Arabidopsis thaliana: one gene and its partner. The protein of the gene in region 2 interacts with the protein of the main gene of each other region in a biochemical or structural test. Each region holds a gene or a part of one and is shown on either strand. Other genes may lie near its edges.

Evidence for each region. The genes of interacting proteins can lie anywhere in the genome.
Region 1: of the proteins of AT1G12000 (region 2) and MC9, one has a biochemical effect on the other in vitro, tested with the Arabidopsis thaliana proteins (one large-scale study listed by BioGRID).

Annotation. Positions count from the first base shown.
Region 1 is NC_003076.8:1,149,855-1,156,103, reverse strand, and holds MC9 (metacaspase 9), read right to left. Parts: upstream 2,365-6,249; 5' UTR 2,212-2,364; coding exon 1,234-2,211; 3' UTR 1,064-1,233; downstream 1-1,063. Other genes in the region: SYTC (Calcium-dependent lipid-binding (CaLB domain) family protein), read left to right, coding at 1-119; AT5G04210 (CCCH-type zinc fingerfamily protein with RNA-binding domain-containing protein), read left to right, coding at 380-525, 614-1,049; PKS4 (phytochrome kinase substrate 4), read right to left, coding at 3,770-4,990. UniProt on the Arabidopsis thaliana protein: Cysteine protease that cleaves specifically after arginine or lysine residues. Does not cleave caspase-specific substrates. Required for proteolytic processing of GRI.
Region 2 is NC_003070.9:4,045,384-4,055,959, forward strand, and holds AT1G12000 (Phosphofructokinase family protein), read right to left. Parts: upstream 8,489-10,576; 5' UTR 8,345-8,488; coding exon 8,149-8,344; intron 7,914-8,148; coding exon 7,755-7,913; intron 7,655-7,754; coding exon 7,533-7,654; intron 7,404-7,532; coding exon 7,350-7,403; intron 7,254-7,349; coding exon 7,147-7,253; intron 7,009-7,146; coding exon 6,903-7,008; intron 6,733-6,902; coding exon 6,669-6,732; intron 6,580-6,668; coding exon 6,491-6,579; intron 6,265-6,490; coding exon 6,133-6,264; intron 6,033-6,132; coding exon 5,862-6,032; intron 5,756-5,861; coding exon 5,640-5,755; intron 5,526-5,639; coding exon 5,414-5,525; intron 5,306-5,413; coding exon 5,221-5,305; intron 5,136-5,220; coding exon 5,091-5,135; intron 5,008-5,090; coding exon 4,939-5,007; intron 4,850-4,938; coding exon 4,776-4,849; 3' UTR 4,513-4,775; downstream 1-4,512. Other genes in the region: RUB3 (ubiquitin-related protein 3), read left to right, coding at 236-472; AT1G11990 (O-fucosyltransferase family protein), read right to left, coding at 863-1,168, 1,254-1,494, 1,582-1,940, 2,018-2,161, 2,252-2,372, 2,479-2,567, 2,653-2,714, 2,792-2,885 and 2 more. UniProt on the Arabidopsis thaliana protein: Catalytic subunit of pyrophosphate--fructose 6-phosphate 1-phosphotransferase. Catalyzes the phosphorylation of D-fructose 6-phosphate, the first committing step of glycolysis.

The sequences.
Region 1 (6,249 bases), on a different chromosome or scaffold from region 2:
GACATGTAGACATAAATCTGGACGATGTAGTTGACAATGGAAGGATCAACCAGAAATACCATCTTATCAATTCCAGAAACGGCATTATTCACATTGAGATCCGTTGGACAACTAGTTAACAAAACTGATAACAATTCTGGCATGAAGTTTTGTTCTAGTATGGCCTTTGTAAAATCTTGCATGTACTTGATCAAAATCATATAATTTTAATAAAATTTCGAAGTACATATTAAATGTTGATGTTTTCTGTACGTACGTATATTGGAGTAAATCTTCTTCTTATGTTTTAGGAATTAGTTAGCGCTACCAATTTCGTCTAGTTGCTTGTATCTACGTGGTCTGGTGATATATTGATTGTTTGTCTTCAATGTAGTTTTTTATGGCCCAAATTGAGGATAAAAGTAGGAAACTAGACTGCATACCAATTTGTCCTTTATTCGACGCTGGTCGCCAGTGTACAAGAGGTACCATGTGTCTATACCGCCATGAGATCAACAGAGGCTTAGATTGTCATGGTCGTTCTGGGTAAGCTATTCTACATACATATATAGATGTATATATATTCTCGAGTCTTTGTTTGTTTGTGTGTTTCATGTATTTTTCTTCACCGCAGGTTAGAAAACCCATTTGTACTCGAGGTGCTTGCAAGAGCTTGTAACACGGGCCCTTTGAAACCACCAGAGGATCAAAGTATTAAAACTCTTTACATCCGTAGACTTATTAACTCCAGTGTCCTCGAGCAGGACATCCGAGACCATTTCTGCCCCTATGGTGAAATCGAATCTATTGTTATCTTCCCCCACCGAGGAGGAGGCACCTGTGCCTTCCTCACTTACACTACCCGTCTAGCTGCTGAGAAGGCCATGCTTGAGCTCTCCTCCTGGACTGACATCAAAGGCCAGAGGGTTAAACTCTTGTGGGGACCTACTGAAAAATGGCAGCACAAAATGACTGGTGCTGCCATTTCTTCAACCCAAGAGGTTGGTTCTTCTAGCTCCAATACTGCTGACTTGGTAACTAAATTAGTACATTCTCTAGAAAAGCTTTAATTAAACCTTTTTGTACCATTAAAAAAGATAAATGTTATTAAACAAGTTTTATATGTCCTTTTTCCTTTTAGAGTACACCACAGAGAATAGAAAATACACACATTCCACCAGTTAACAATTTACAACAACCCCAAAGGCAAACGTGATAAAACAAATAAAAGAAAACAACGCAAACGTTTAAAATTCAAGGTTGAGAAAGGAACGTCGCGTCTGCGTTCTGGTCGCTGCAGTAGAGACAAGGGTGTTGATGAAACCCTAGTCTCTCAAGCACATCCCTTGCCATCATCACTAGTTGCTTGTTCTTCATGGCACCTTCATTTTCGTTCAACACCCTTTGAATCGCGTTGCTAAACGCTCCGTACGCTTTCCCGTTCCCAACGCCGACGTCAGCAGACGTCTCATCCGCCTGACACCCGCTCATCAATATCCCTGAGTCCACGTGTTTTTCACGGGCCGTCATAGTCTCCAAAAGATCCATTAGATCCATTGCCGGTAACCGAAACTTAAGACCAGCATCGCGGCCAAAGAGCTCAAGTAGATGTGTGCCGATGTCGGAAGTTGTAATTCCGGTGAGAGAACTCAAGTGGTCAAGGACTGCCTTGAAGGGCAAGGCACGTGATGTTATAGTCTTGTTCGTTGTCTCAATAGCCGGAGATATGTTGCTGGAGACCGAAGAGGGTCCGATCTGTTCTTTCTCCTTGTCGATGAGACCACCACTATGGCAAGAATCAGAGATCATGGTAAAGCTTGTTCCTTTAGGAAGTTGATTGACCAATTCTCGGAAATCAACATCTGTGATGAGATTGAAATCACAAGGAACAATAGCTTCGTCTTGTTTAAAAGGATGAGCAGATTTAACCGAAGGAATACGAGTTCCATGGCCACTGTAGTGGAAGAACAAGATGTCTCCAGATCCGGCTTGAGCTTTATCCACCATCCTACGTAGAGCAGCCTTGATGTTGGCACCTGTCGGCTTTACCTTTGATTCTGGCTCGTCCGTTAGCACCTCAATGTCGTCTTGTTTGAATCCGAAACGTGACAAAATAGTTTCTTTCATGGCTAGAACATCATTGATGCAACCGTGAAGCTCGTTCCTTGTGTTAGGGTAGTTGCAGCCGACGAGAACGGCTAGTCTTTTCTTGACCATCCCTTGTTGATCCATTGAGTTTCTGGATATGATTTCTTAAGGTTTAAGAGGTAATTTAAACAACTTTCTAGGCAAAATGTTTTGGGGTTTCTTGTGTACGTGTGTTTAGTTTTCATGTGCAGTGTTGTGGTTTTGGAGCTAATGTGTATTTATGATTGAGGTTTCGTGTAGTGAAGTTCAAGTTACATACGATATTAGTATTTATATTTTCAAGTCTAGTTTGCTTTTAAGCTATGGAACATTTTTTAATGGCTTACTCTTGACTTATTAATGCTTTCAAGCAAGAAACTAAACCTTAAATCAGACTTTTGAGAAAGACATAATTAATCCTAAGTCATGGATTCATGATTAATTTGGTTAACTTGGATATATACGTAACTTCAAAAGGGAAGTCATTTTCCCAAATATTTAGACCTAATCCATCTAGCTATCTAAGGGAAGAGAGGAGCTAATTAACTTTAAATGCTATGATATACGAATGTATATAACGTATACATTGTTGAAAATAATGTCAATTGACCAAACTATAATTTGCCTTAATCCTAAAGGACCGTCTATATACTTCGTGCACGCAACGGAAAAGTCTTTTTGAGACGAACCATTTATGCTATTAGCACCATCTTCACTTCACCTACGAGCCTAACTCTTGACTTCATATTTACAAGTTATATCCCCAAAAAAGAAATCAAACTTTCAATGGTAAACTCTTTAACAAAATAAAAAGCATTCAAATTAAAAGATAAAGCTTTTAGTAAACGAAAGACTAATCAGAAATTAAACGTCTTCATCAACTGAGAATTTTTCTTTTTGGTTTTATGTGATAAAAACACATGCTGGATTATGTTTTTAACAAATAAACAAAACTAAATCGATGACCAATACTACAGTCTGTTTATTGCATAAAGTTGTTTATATTCCTATGCATGCATTTATTATCTCTTGGGTAACGGCTTGGAATCATCTCCCAAGTTCCCAACTCGTGATAGATTAAGGAATTGGGGCATGAATATTCTTGAAATTTTTGTCTCCTCTGTAATGCACCTGAATCCAAGAACCACTTGTTTTCTGAATGTACCTACAACAAAGACACATGGGGCATCTTCTTTTGCTCAATTCAGCCCGCCTACAATCTTTGAAGATTGATGTTTCCATGGGACCTCAAAGAAGTAGTGGATGAGGTTTCTAAAGAAAGAAATCGTATAACCAAGTGTTTTGTGGTCCATTGGTTTGTTCGAGTGGATAGAGGATTCGCTATGTGGGTCAAGGCTACGAATCTATTTCTTGACTATAGACGCCTTAAATACAACATACAAGTATTGAGGATTAGTTTGGGTTTCACTCCGGGATTTACTCCGGTTATTACAAAAAAATGTGATCAATATTGTGATAAATACAGGACACATTGATTTTGTTTACTTCACAAACCATAATCTTCATTAATCATTACACAAGTTATATTAACCAAAAAAAAGAAGAAGAAAAAACAGAGCAATTTTACACGAGAAGCATCCAAAACACACCAAGATAACTGGAGAAAACCGGATCTAAACCAAGAACAAAGATTTGGTATCCATCATTGCCTTGGTCTACTCGTCACGCTTAGTTTAGAACTGCCATTGTTGCACAACACCTTTCCCGCGACGTCGTTTTGAACACCAACGCTCTTAACCGGTTGCACTAAACGCTTATCGCCGTTAACCATAACCGCCTTCTCACAATGACAGTTCAACAAACCGGTTCTCTTCTTATCGTAACCACTAAATGCTGTAGACGATGACGACAAGGCAATTCTTGAGAAGTTAGCTGCAACGGCCGAGGCCGGCTCGGCGGTCATAACGCTCCAAGTAACACTTGCTTCGCTTGGCTCGTAACCGTACTCAGACACGGTCTCTTCCATCGAGTCCCGTACTGGTGGAGCCCATGGACGAGCTGCGGTTTGAGTAGAGAAGCTCTCTATCTCAAAAAGATCGGAGCTTGCGTCGCTTGTGGCTTCTTCGTCTATGATGACTCCCTTGGGACTCGTAGGATTCAGAACCGGTTTAATCGGAAGCAGAGCCGGTTCAATTCGTACCGGTTTAATATGATTCAAAACCGGATTCTTGGGATTTTCTGATAATTGTGAAGTTTCGTTTAGAGTTGGGAAGCTAAAATTACTAACTGGAGCTCTAGCTTCTTTGTTTGCAGTGTAATCGATGGACCGAGTCACAGTGTTTGAAGGGATCGTTAATCTTATTGGCTCAGGTGAAGATATCGTCTGATGACTATGAACTATTCGGTTCGAGACGATTCGGTCAGAACCGGTTTTGGGCACTGCGATTCTTGGTTTGGATTCTTGGACCTGAACGGACTTGGAGCTAGAACATGGACAAGCCCTGCGTCTAAAAAACCATCTTGGTCCTTTCTTGCTGCTTCTACGTCCATCTCTGTCCGATCCTTGGCGGTTTTTGTTAGAGAGCAAACCGGTTTGGCTGTTCCAGCTAGCTTCAGAGGATGCCGTTTGTCCCACGGTAAAAGAAGACACTTTTGCAGATGCGACCGAAGAAAATCTTGGACCACTTAGATTCCTCGTCTGGCATCGACTATCGTTGCTTCCGTTTTCGCTAAAGTAACTTCGAGCTTCGAAGATACTTAGCTCAGTATCTTCATTCTCCTTTTGTTGTTGTTCGTTGTTGTCTGGTTTGAGGTAAGAAGAGAAGGAGACATCGATGTCGTTTGATCGATTCTGAAGAATCTTGATGTAAGGATCAAGAGCATCGCGTTTGGTCGCGACTACAGTGACAGTAGTTTGCGCCATTGAAGTATCTTTTGCTTCTTTTTCTCTTTTTCTGGTAGAAGTTGAAAAAACAGAGTTGCAAGTTAGTTCAGTGCTCTGTCTCAAGTCTCTCACTTTGTGTATATATATATATACTCGAGACTTGAGAGAAGTGTTATAAGTTAGTTATGTACGGAACAGTTATATCTACCTCGTTTAGATGTCATCAATACATTCTTTACATGTAAAAAATTTAGGTCTATATAGGTTTCCTTAATTAAATAAACCTTAAAAGTCCTTAGAGATTTTTTTTATATTAATAGAAAAGGTTTGATTTTGTGGAACCCAACTATTCCATTAAAATTCATCATACAAGAAATTTGCAGTCATCATCAACAAATAATAGAATGGATTAGGATTTTGAGATTTTTGGTTTTTGGTTTTTCTTCATATACTTTTCCATAAATCCAAGATATTTGGTGATTTGGTCTATAGTCTCTCTATGAATGTCCAAAGCCAGTTTTGAAGGATTAGTATATCACTTGGAAGTTCAAATTTTGGTCCTTAAGTAAGATTGGAAAAATAAAATAAAATAAGATTTGATTAGAACAAACTCAAAATAGTTATAGCTTCTGAAATGATAACAAATTATTTTGGTTTTCAAGGTTAATTCTTGTTCAAAAGCTAATATACTTTACAGAAGAATGTCGACTTAGTGACTTGTATGATTTACATTTTGTGGATACGCCACAGTTATCATCAAAGAGTTGCTCATGTTTACACTATAAATATTCAAAAATTTCCTAATTATGAAAAGAAATATGAGTTGTATCTATCAAAAAAATCCACATCAATAAAAAAACCCGACCCAAAATAGACTAACCAGTATCCAAATCGTAATCTCAAAGATGAGAGAAGAAACATAAAGTTTTGTTGCACCCTATCCTCAAATCTAGAAACGTGATGGTTTCCCTAGGCCATAGTTGGACCATGTGGCTTCTCCATTATTATGTTCTTCTATATGATGCTTTTAAGCAAGAAGACAAAGATAACTCAAAAGAAGGTGACAAATCTTAATAGTGATTACTTCCTATTCGACAAGAGACAGATCAAAAGAGAGGATAAGAATTATCATTGTAATAATATTGGGTCCATTTTGTTACAATGCATGCTATTTCGACATTTAACGGACAAATGCTCCGAACGTGATTAGGGTTCTTAGGCTGTCAATTATGTGGTGTTTTCTACTTTAACTTCATCAATGTTCAATGTAAGAACTTATTTGGTATATAGACTATAGA
Region 2 (10,576 bases):
ATAAAAGGTATTTCAGTTTTTACCTTAATTTTGCTAAACGTTAATGAATTTTTTATTGATCTGATAAAATCTACTAAAATATGTTAAATAATGGATTTGTTTTGGAAATTCCAATGCCTAAAAAAAAGGAAATAACTCCAAATCCTTCAAGGCTTTTAACTATCCGAAGATATATATATTTTGATTTGAGAGACAAAAGACAAGGTTGAGAGCGAGAGAGAAAACTTGAGTAAGCATGGAGATCAAAGTGAAGACTCTGACGGAAAAACAAATAGACATTGAGATTGAGCTAACGGACACGATTGAGCGGATCAAAGAACGAATCGAAGAGAAAGAAGGCATTCCTCCTGTTCATCAAAGGATCGTCTACACTGGGAAACAACTTGCTGATGATTTAACCGCCAAACATTACAACCTAGAACGTGGTAGTGTTCTTCATCTTGTTCTTGCCCTTAGAGGTGGTTGTTGCTAATCTAGGTTTGGTTACAATAAGACTAGCTAGGTTTATGTCAATTGTTTTGGTTTTCTAATTTTTTTCTTTCTTTCTTTTCTTCTGTTTGATTTGCTTATGTTATATTGGTTGCTTTTGGTTCTATGAAGATTCTGAACTTTGACCTAGTTTTAGAGGAGTGTTTCTTTATTGTGTTTTAATTGAATTTTTGTAGGATTCAATTAATAAGAAACATATAAATCTCACATATCATGTGCACACCAAAATCTTGATATACTCTTCAATCATATAATGAAAAAAAAACATATATCATTACAGAAAACTCAACTCTTAAGAGGTTACAAAATAGGATAAATTGAACCAAAACCGGACCCCAAAAAGAAAACAAAAAAATGATCAAATATTATTGATTCATGCATGACACATACATTCTTTACATCTTGGGTAACGGTAAACGCTGCGTCCATTAGGTCTAGCGAATACATGTTTCGTCTGTCTAATCGCTTTTCTTACTCTTTTCTCAAACACGTTCCACTCAATCGTACTGTTCTTCAACAATATGTCCGAAAGTCTCCGTTTGTTCGGTCTTATCGTCGGCAATTTCCCTCCTCCGTAATAAATCCGATAACCCGATACAAGAGATGATAACTGACTCCCTGAATCCGTCATCGCAAAAGCGTCTGCTGCAGCACAAGCGATGAAATCTAATGCCGCTAGCTACACATAAACCAAAGGAAAAAAAGATTAATACAAAATTGGTTTTTACTTAGGATTTGATGGTTTGTCTATGTTTAAGTTTTACCTGAGATGAAAAGTTTTTGAATGGTTGTAGTTCGGATTCTGTTAGTAACTTTTCTTTGGTGACTAGATTCGGGTATAAGCTAGTTAACACGGCTAAACGTTTTGATCCTCCATATATGTTTGCACCAGCTACGAAAACTCGGGTTTCGCGGTTGAAGCCAAGAGCCGCGAGCATAAGCACGGCTTCTTCGGGTGTTAGTGGACAAAGTCCTTCTGTCCTCAAAACATCCGCAGATCGGAATCTGAATAAAGAAAAGAAACAAAAACAGAGCAAATTAGGTTTAGAATCGAAGACAAGGAAGCTTGAGTTTGAAGTAAAAGGAACAAACTTTTTTTTTCTGGTTAAAGTTGAAAGAGATGGAAAGTGTTTTTGGCGGTAAGAATCCAACTCTTTCTGTTCTGTTTCACCTCCTCCGAAGTAACATAGAGAATGAGCCACCATGTCGATTTCAAACCGTAAATGGAGAGCAAGGTACTTAGAAGAAGAAGAAGAAGCCGCCTCCTCCTGCACCGGAGAATCAGACTTATTGTCCAAGATTAAGGAAGCATATTTTGGACCGAGGAGATGTAGATCAAGTGGTGCAACGTAAGATCCACTGCCCCGTAATCTCTTCACGAGCAATGCCGCAGTTTCTTGTATCCTCGGGACAAAGTTTAGCGCATGAAAGTTACATCTGCACCGAAGCCTCTACTTCCAAAAAGGTTTAGATAAAGAAGCTATAATCAGAGATATATAGAAGCGCGTAGAGTAAAAAAAATGTCTACCTGTAACTCAAACGGTAATGGATCAAAGGCTAAGCGGTTTCCGAATCCGACAAAATGGATTACTCTGTTCTTGAGTAGTATAGGGAGAATGTGTGTCATATAAAAGTCTGGTTTGGCTTCTTTCATCACTTCTATATCTGTCACCTTAAGAGGTAAAAGTGACAAAACATGAACAAAAAGAGAAGAAAGATGAGACTGTTCGCGTCAAGATTTGGGGAGAAATGTATAACTCACGACGCTACCGATTTCTTCAAGATTAAGAGATTGAAGCTCTTTTGGTAGCTCCTTTACTATCCGAATATCGGGCGACAAGTACTCCATAAAATGTTCCTCTTGGTAGATATCTCCAAACTGACTATATATGAAGTATTAATTAAAGTTCAATACATCGTTACAAATGTAAAAACCTCAAAAATGGCTAGAAAATGAGAGATAGAGGACGGAGAGCTTACAATAGTTACCTTGCATCTGTCCAAACGTCACTTAACATGAATTTGGGAATGACGAGAGCCGCATTGAGCAATCGAGCTACAACAACAATGTTACATACCTATGACGAAATCCATTGGTTATAGACTTATAGTCACTAGAGAATTTGAAAGATAAATTTGAAGGACAAGGAGAAGAAAACTTACAGCAACTCTTTGCTGATTAATCCCTCCGTTTGCAGTTACCATAATATATCCATTTTTGCCATCTAAAAAATCAGGCAAGTTAAACTCCATAGGAAACAAGCTTTAACCTAATTTTATAAAGAGAGAGATTGAATGAGACCGTCAGGAGTCAAAGAACGTTGATCCGCACAAGGCTTCCACGCCGAAGCTTGTTCCTTCGGCTCCTGCCATAAGTCTTTGGTCTCAAGTTTGTTCTGCTCAAAATCAAAACCATTACAATAACGGTTATCACGCATTCCCTATTAAAAAGAACAAAACAATGTTACTGAGAATTAGGAAGGATAAGATTGGTTTGTGAAGAATATATTTACCTCTGCCAAAGCATCAGTAGCCAAACTCAACATTCTACCATATGTTCCATTATATTTCATCTTCTGTTTTTCAAACTTTTTACGCTCTTCATTCTGATTCACACAACAAAAAGTTTAGATCAAATGAAACTTTAAGCACAAAACACAACTCTTCATATAGTCAATTACCACCATATAATAATTCAGTTATGCAACACAATATTTTATTTCAACTAAGATATCATTTTTCTTATCTTCTCTGTTTTTATAAATAAAAAGCTTTTTTTGTTGTATGTGAAAATGAGTGTAGCGCAAGAAACGTCAGTAATCAAGGAAACATGTCAATGAAGATTACGATCATTGGACCTGTGCAGAAACATGTTTTGGGTTCTCAGAGAGTCCTCTTCGAAGCCAGACCCGACCTTCGTGAAGGCGAGAGAGCATGAACCAATTAACGAGGCAAAAGAAACCCAAAATCGCCATAACGCCAATAGCTGTTTTAGCCGTTCTTTGATCGTTACAAGCTTGGATTCTCTTCCTCTTGCATCGCTTTATCGTTTGTTTTGGATTCGGGTCTCCAGCAAAGACGTAGAACCTGGTCGGACCGAGACGCGGCGAATGAGGCGGTGAACATCCGTAGACCCCAAGATCACGTGACTCGGGTCTCTCTTCGTCGTTAGGTCTTTCTTGTCCCATGATCAACAAAAGTCTCCTTTTCTTGGTCTCTCTCTCCTCTCTGTCTCTGAATTGACAAAAAAGGGAGAGAGAGAGAGACTAAACTAAAGGATGAAAGAAATTTCCATAAATAAGAAAGCGAAAGCTTTGCCGAATTTAACGAAGATAGTGAGAGAGAGAGAGAGAGAGAGAGATTATTTGAATTTCAGTGTGTCTGTTATTCTCTTCGTTAGAAAACTTCGAACATCATTAACGTTTAATGTTAGTCCTATAGTTTAGCTATTAACAGAAACAACCTTAGTGTTTTTTATTTCTTCTTATAAATATCTTTAATTTATCACAATTTAACATTCCACCAAGGCACCACTTGAAATATCATTTCACTTGCTAAGTTAGGATCTATAAACAGTTAACATACATGTAAAAGTTATGTGTTGTTTTGCTTTCAAGAAGCAAATAATAGACCCGTTAACAAAGCAACCTACCGGTATAATTTGATATGAAAATGACCTTGATGTATCTCTAGAACCTACCAGCATTAGGTTTTACTATTTTCTTTTAATAGGGTTTACTGGTAAGCAAAAGGTGGTTTAACAGTTAACCTCACAAGTAACGATATGTTGATTTTAGTAGCTTAAGATTTTCCTAATAGAAACCAAAAGAACTTTGTATTAAATTTGAATTCTGACTTTAGAACTTTGTATTAAAATTAGAATCTGACCTTGATGTGTATATAGAGCCTACCAGGACTTTTAGTGTGTTGAAACAATAATTAGCCTTAAACTAAATTTGTACTTTAAAAACATCATAAAAATTCAAGTAACGCATATGTTGACAAAAAGTAGCTTACGATTTTCCTAATAGACCCGCAAAGGACTTTTTTCTAGACAGACTCCGACTTTAGATCTTTGTAGTAAATTTAGACCATGTAGTATAATTATCTTATATGTTGAAGAAACACGAGAGAAATAATATTATAATTATCTTATATGTTGAAGAAACACGAGAGGAATCAACTTAATCGAAATGTTACGGACACGTAATATTCAAGATAAAACAAGACTGATGCGAAATTCCAAGGAAGGCAGAAAAGCAAAGGAATGGTGGTTAGTCGAGAGACTATTGAGCCCCGAGTTCAAGAAGTAGAGTGTGGCTGAGAGAGTCTGAACCAGGTCCAGTGAATTGGATCGGACCTGCAAGTCGATAACATTCCCGCAAAGGGATTAGAATCTGAAACACAACAGATGGTTTGTCAAAAAAAGACAAGAAACATGCAACAAACCTGGGCTGATGTATCGGTTCTTCAATGCCCATTCTTCACGCAGTGATGCGAATTTCTTAAATGGTGCACCTGCAGAGCTCAAAAAGACAGTCAGCAAGACAATCTAACCGCCAATCGAAAACTATGAAAAGGGAAGGGAATCAAAGGGTCACCTTCAAGTTCCACCATTGCTTTCTTGATCACAGGCTTGAACTTACCTGCAAGTTGAAATCAACTCTGATTTTTTAATATCTAGATTTCAAAATGTGTCTTAGTAAGCTTTATTGATTTATATTTCTGTACCGTGTCTCCTCTCGACATCCATCAAGGCTGTGAGAGCAGTCCCACCTACAGTCCATTCTTCCACAGGAGCAGCCAAGTTCCCAACCTGCGCCAATAAGTTAACTCATCTCATTCTAAGCACATACTAGTTTACCAAAGGCTATTATGATCACAGATGGAAAACAGATTTTAGTGGAAATGGTGGAGTACAAACCGAAGAAATTAGTCCGGTCTTCCCACTGTTGAGGAGTACTCCAGCGCCATAACCAAGTGCATAACAGTATGTGGCATCAAAATTTGTGGGCAAGCCGCATCTTCCTTCATACCTGTATTCAAGTTGATTACAAACCATAAATCAAGCTTGTATTATTCACATCAATAAATAAGCAATGTATTATATAACGATTTGGTTAACTGAAAGAACAAATTGCGTAACTTACCCGAAGAAATGTGACTGTCCCATGAATTGTCCCTTGTATGCACCAGCTTGCTTTCTTTTCTCCAATTCAGTTTCAACCATTTGAATAAGCATCTTCTCAGTCTCAATCTTAGCAACCTATTGAGATGAGGACATGGTATTATTAATAATGATTTGTGAGAGATGAAGCTAACTGCATTGTGGTGGAAATTTAGTACGAGGAGACAGGACCATGATCAATTACCTGGACATTTCCGTGTGGGTCTCTCTCAAGCATCAGCTGTTCCTGAATTGCTTCAGGCAGAAGATCAAACAGCTTCAGGGATTGCTCGGTGAGCTTCTTCTTCCACAAACCATTTTCATCGACAACCTCATTTGCCAGAATTTCATTCAGTTCAGCAATGAGCTCTTGGACCTGAGAAGTCATGAAATAAAATTAATCATCAGTTAAGAAGAACAATTATATTAATCGGTTTAAAAGTAGTAGATTCTATTTTTTTACAATGACAACACACCTCAGGAATAAAGTCGATCAGACCTTCTGGAATCAGTATGACACCGTAGTTGTAACCAAGTTCAGCACGTTTGCAGATAACATCCACCATGTAGTCTGTGACATTCTTCAAAGTCTGCTTCTGGGCAGAAACCTGCAAAAAAGTATTTCCAGATCAAAGTTGAGTAAATATAAACTGATCTAATGAGGCATGTGTGAGGTCTCTCTGAACCAATAACCCCATATTGAAATGAATAATTTGCTTCAATGGAAAAGTGTCACAAATATGAATCTGATTTGCAGTCTAATTCTATCATCTACACGATTAAGATTCAGATATCTTTACGGTAATTTGAATTGAAGTCAACCAAAAACGTTACCTCTTCTCCAATAATGGTTATGTTTGGGTGAGTTTGTAAAGCACACTCAAGCGTAATGTGGGAAGCAGCACGACCCATAAGTCTTACAACTGCAATGAAAATGTGATACAGCATGTAAACAAATAGGGCACAATAGAAATGATGCAACTTCAAGAAATTTTGTTAAACATTTACTTACAATGATAGTACTTTCCAGTCGACCTTGCATCAATCATGACGTTTCCGATCATTTCAGAGTAAATCTGCATAGGCATTAAAATGTTTTTAATAGGCTTTTTCCAACATAATTCTTCTGGTGGAACAAGAAATTAGATTCTTGACGAGGAATTGAAACGAGAGCAAAGGATTGGTTATGTAATAACTTATGTAACAATTGATAAAAAAAAAAAAAATGATCAAAACGGAATATCACCTTGCAAGCTGTATCAAACCCAAAACTAGTAGGAACCTCTTTGCATTTCAAATCACCATCAATGGTCTTGGGGCACCCAATGACTCGGGTTTTCAAGTTCTTACTCCTAATTATACAAGTAGATAATAAGTCAAATGCTGAATCAGCAAATATTAAAGATTCTGGTCACATGGATCTTCAAGAACAACTACTTTCGCCTAAGATAAATAAGTTTCAACATAACAGATTCAACTGCAAGGTTTACCTGAAGTTTTCAGCAAGAAGGCAAGCATTGGTGTTGGAATCATCTCCACCGATAACCACCAACCCATCCAAATCAAGCTTCTTTGCTGTTTCTTCAGCTTGTTTAAACTGCACATGAGAGGCATATATAATTACTCACTGCACGAAATAGAGGCTTTGGAAGCAGTAACAAATATCTTTTCAAACCACAAAAAAATATTCAACCTGGTCAGGTGTTTCAATCTTGTCTCTTCCACTGCAGATCATGTCAAAACCACCCTGTTGAGACCAAAAAAAGAATTATAACCACATCGACTTAAAAAGACAAGTATATTTAACCAAGGACTAATGCTCCACATCTAGTGGAGTGTAAATTCAAATCTTGTGGAAGGATCTGAATCCAAGTACCTGGTTTCTGTAAGGCTGAATATATTCAGCATTCAACTCAACATATTTGCATTTCATGATACCAGCTGGACCACCCTTGAACCCGTAAAATGTGCTACCTTTCGCACGCTCTTGCAGGTAATCTAACACGCCGAAAACAAAATCAAGAGTGGAACAATGTCAGCAACTATTCTACAAAAAAAAAAAAAAAAACATCATTTGACGTAAAAATCAAACCCTTACCAAACAGTCCAGAAATAACATTGTGCCCACCAGGTGCCTGACCTCCAGACAAAACAACACCAATCTTCAATTTCGGTGCCGACGAAGGTGCATCCTGATCTGGAACCACTGCTACTGATGGCTGGCCATATAGACCCGGAAACAACTTCGCTATCTCATCTACAACCACATAAACCAAAACACTAAATTCTCCAAAACTCTTCTAAATAATCTATAAACCACAGATCTATAAGAGCATCCATTCTCAAACTACACGAGAGCATAATACACACATAATCACAATTAAACTACTTCAATTTAGCTTAATAAAATCATCTAGTTCCTCAATTTTTCTCACCAAACTAACAAGATCTAGATCAGACTGATAAAAAAACTCAAATCGCGAGTATCTAACCTGGATTCCCGGCGGCGGAACTAGCGGGACCTTCGACGATTTTGAAAGCTCCTTTGAGAACAGAAGGCAAAGGAAGAGTGTTGTTAATACGGCTTGATTGAACTTCACTGTAAACCGAAGCACGTCCTTTCGCAGGAGCATTCTCCGGAGATCCGACGGCGGTGAGATCTCGTGTAACGGCGAGAGCAGGGGCCATTGCTCTGTGGGTGTTGTTTCGCTTTTCACCTAACTAGTTTACTTTCGTTTCGAACCTAACTTTTTTCTTCCCTCCTTTCGTTCACTCGTCGTCAATGGAGTTCACTTCGAGGTCTCCGCATTGGGGTTGGTGTGAATATATACTCTGACCCAAGGGTTTAATAGTCAATTCCTTTATTAATTTACTCATCCTACAAGGCAAAGGGTATTTTAGGGATATCTTGTATAATGGCCTGTTCTATGATGTTCGGAACTTTAAGGCCCAATTTAATTTTTGGGCTTTTGAGCCTTGAGATTATCGTATCTAGCTAGCTTCTTTTTTGCTGTCTATTTTTACGTTTTGTATGCGACGAGTACACATGCCTTGCGTAGACACCAAACCAAACACAATATAGCCTAGTCTGTTGCATTTTATTATAACGAAATTAGTGTTGTATTAATGAAAATGCATGCGTGTGTATAACTCCATAAGTTTTTAAAAAGACATGTAATTCCATAGTTTACTTTCACCAAAAAATCAATCAAGACATTGAACAGTAAGAAGAAGACGGTATATATGAACGTTTTGTAAGCATAAATCTGAATTTTTTTAAAAAATTAAAACGTTACCATTGAAAGTAAGTATTTTGTTCATAATAAGTCTAGATAAATCCGAATTTCGATAGATATATAGTTTGTAAATTAATACTTGACAAAAAAAAGAACTTTTCAATTAGTGAAAGAAATAACAAGCTCGCATGGGGGTTATTGGGCTAAGATCACTAAAAGAAAAGTAGGTAGTAGTAGCCACCGACCGAAGTATTTCTTTCTGATTTTTTGTTATCAATTATCAATTAATTTCACAAGATACGAGAGAGATAAAGATTGATTTATTTTCTTGTTACTTGATACAAGATTTTTTGTGGCACGAATTATTATAACCTCAACTTTAACCCTTTTCCGAAAAAAGAAAGGTATTATAACCTCAACTATTACAACTTGGAAGTAATTAATCGTATATTGTGTTGTTTTTCGTACATAAAGAGAAAGTACTATCATTTTAAACTTATTTTATTTTAGTTTCACTTCTTAATGAGTTTGGGAATATTTTCTAACTTTAGTTAAATTATATATAATGTATACTTTTCTTACCAAACATTTGATTTAAAGGTTTTTATTGATTTGTTAAACTATGAGGAATATTTTTTCCCTATTATGGAAGAATCCAAAGATAACTTATTGTAATTATATTAGCTGGCCAAGGCCAACCGGTATTATCGAAGAAGCAACCTCATAATGATCAAGATAATTTGACAGAAAAATGATCAGGTTAATCTTCTTCCTTCCCAAAATTAACAAAGTTGATTTATAATCCAAAAAGGACCAAAATCATATACGTATCTTTAGGTTGTGGTTGGTAATCCATGAATTAGAACGATAAACTGATTTTGCGATTCTGTCAATTAGTTATTGATAATTTAATTTATGTTTTGTTATTTCACAATTTATTTGACAAAAGTAAAAGAAAATGATCATCATATATACATCATAAATTTTCAGTCCAGTTAAGAAAAGGAAAGAAAAAACTTCATTTCATTCTAATTTTGAATATTACTCTAAGTCAAAACTATAAGTCAAATTCAAATTCTCTCACTGAAAATAACATATTTTTACTTGATATATATACATCAGACCTACTTGCCAACACCCATAAGAACGAGGAAATAATCATGCAACTCGAAGATGCAAGATGTTGGTGATGAAAATCATCCTCTTGTATATGTTACCATCTACAATATATATAAATAAATTACTCAACATGGAATTTGTCTCCTCATCCTGCTATTATGCAAAATAAGAAAATCTATCTGTCAAATAGTAGAATTACAAGCACAAACGATTTTCTATTTATTGCTTGTACGCATTTTACAATGACTTAGTCATTCCCTATTCATAGTGATTCAAATAAAATGATCAATCATACATAACTAGATAACCAAAAATCCAAAATCAGTATATTGTAATATTGTTATTTGTCGAGATTGATCGTATATTACACATCATCCCTAGCCTTTTTTTTTGCATCTAATGACTCCACAAAGCACCAGCAGATAAAAAAACTCTTCGAGTCTTTACTTGTACGAACCTTATAAACAATTATTCATGTTTTTTTTTAAAAAGGCAAAAGAAATAACCAATAGAATTGTAGAACTAGAGATACAAATGGAAAACACCAAATTTTATCCCATCTCAA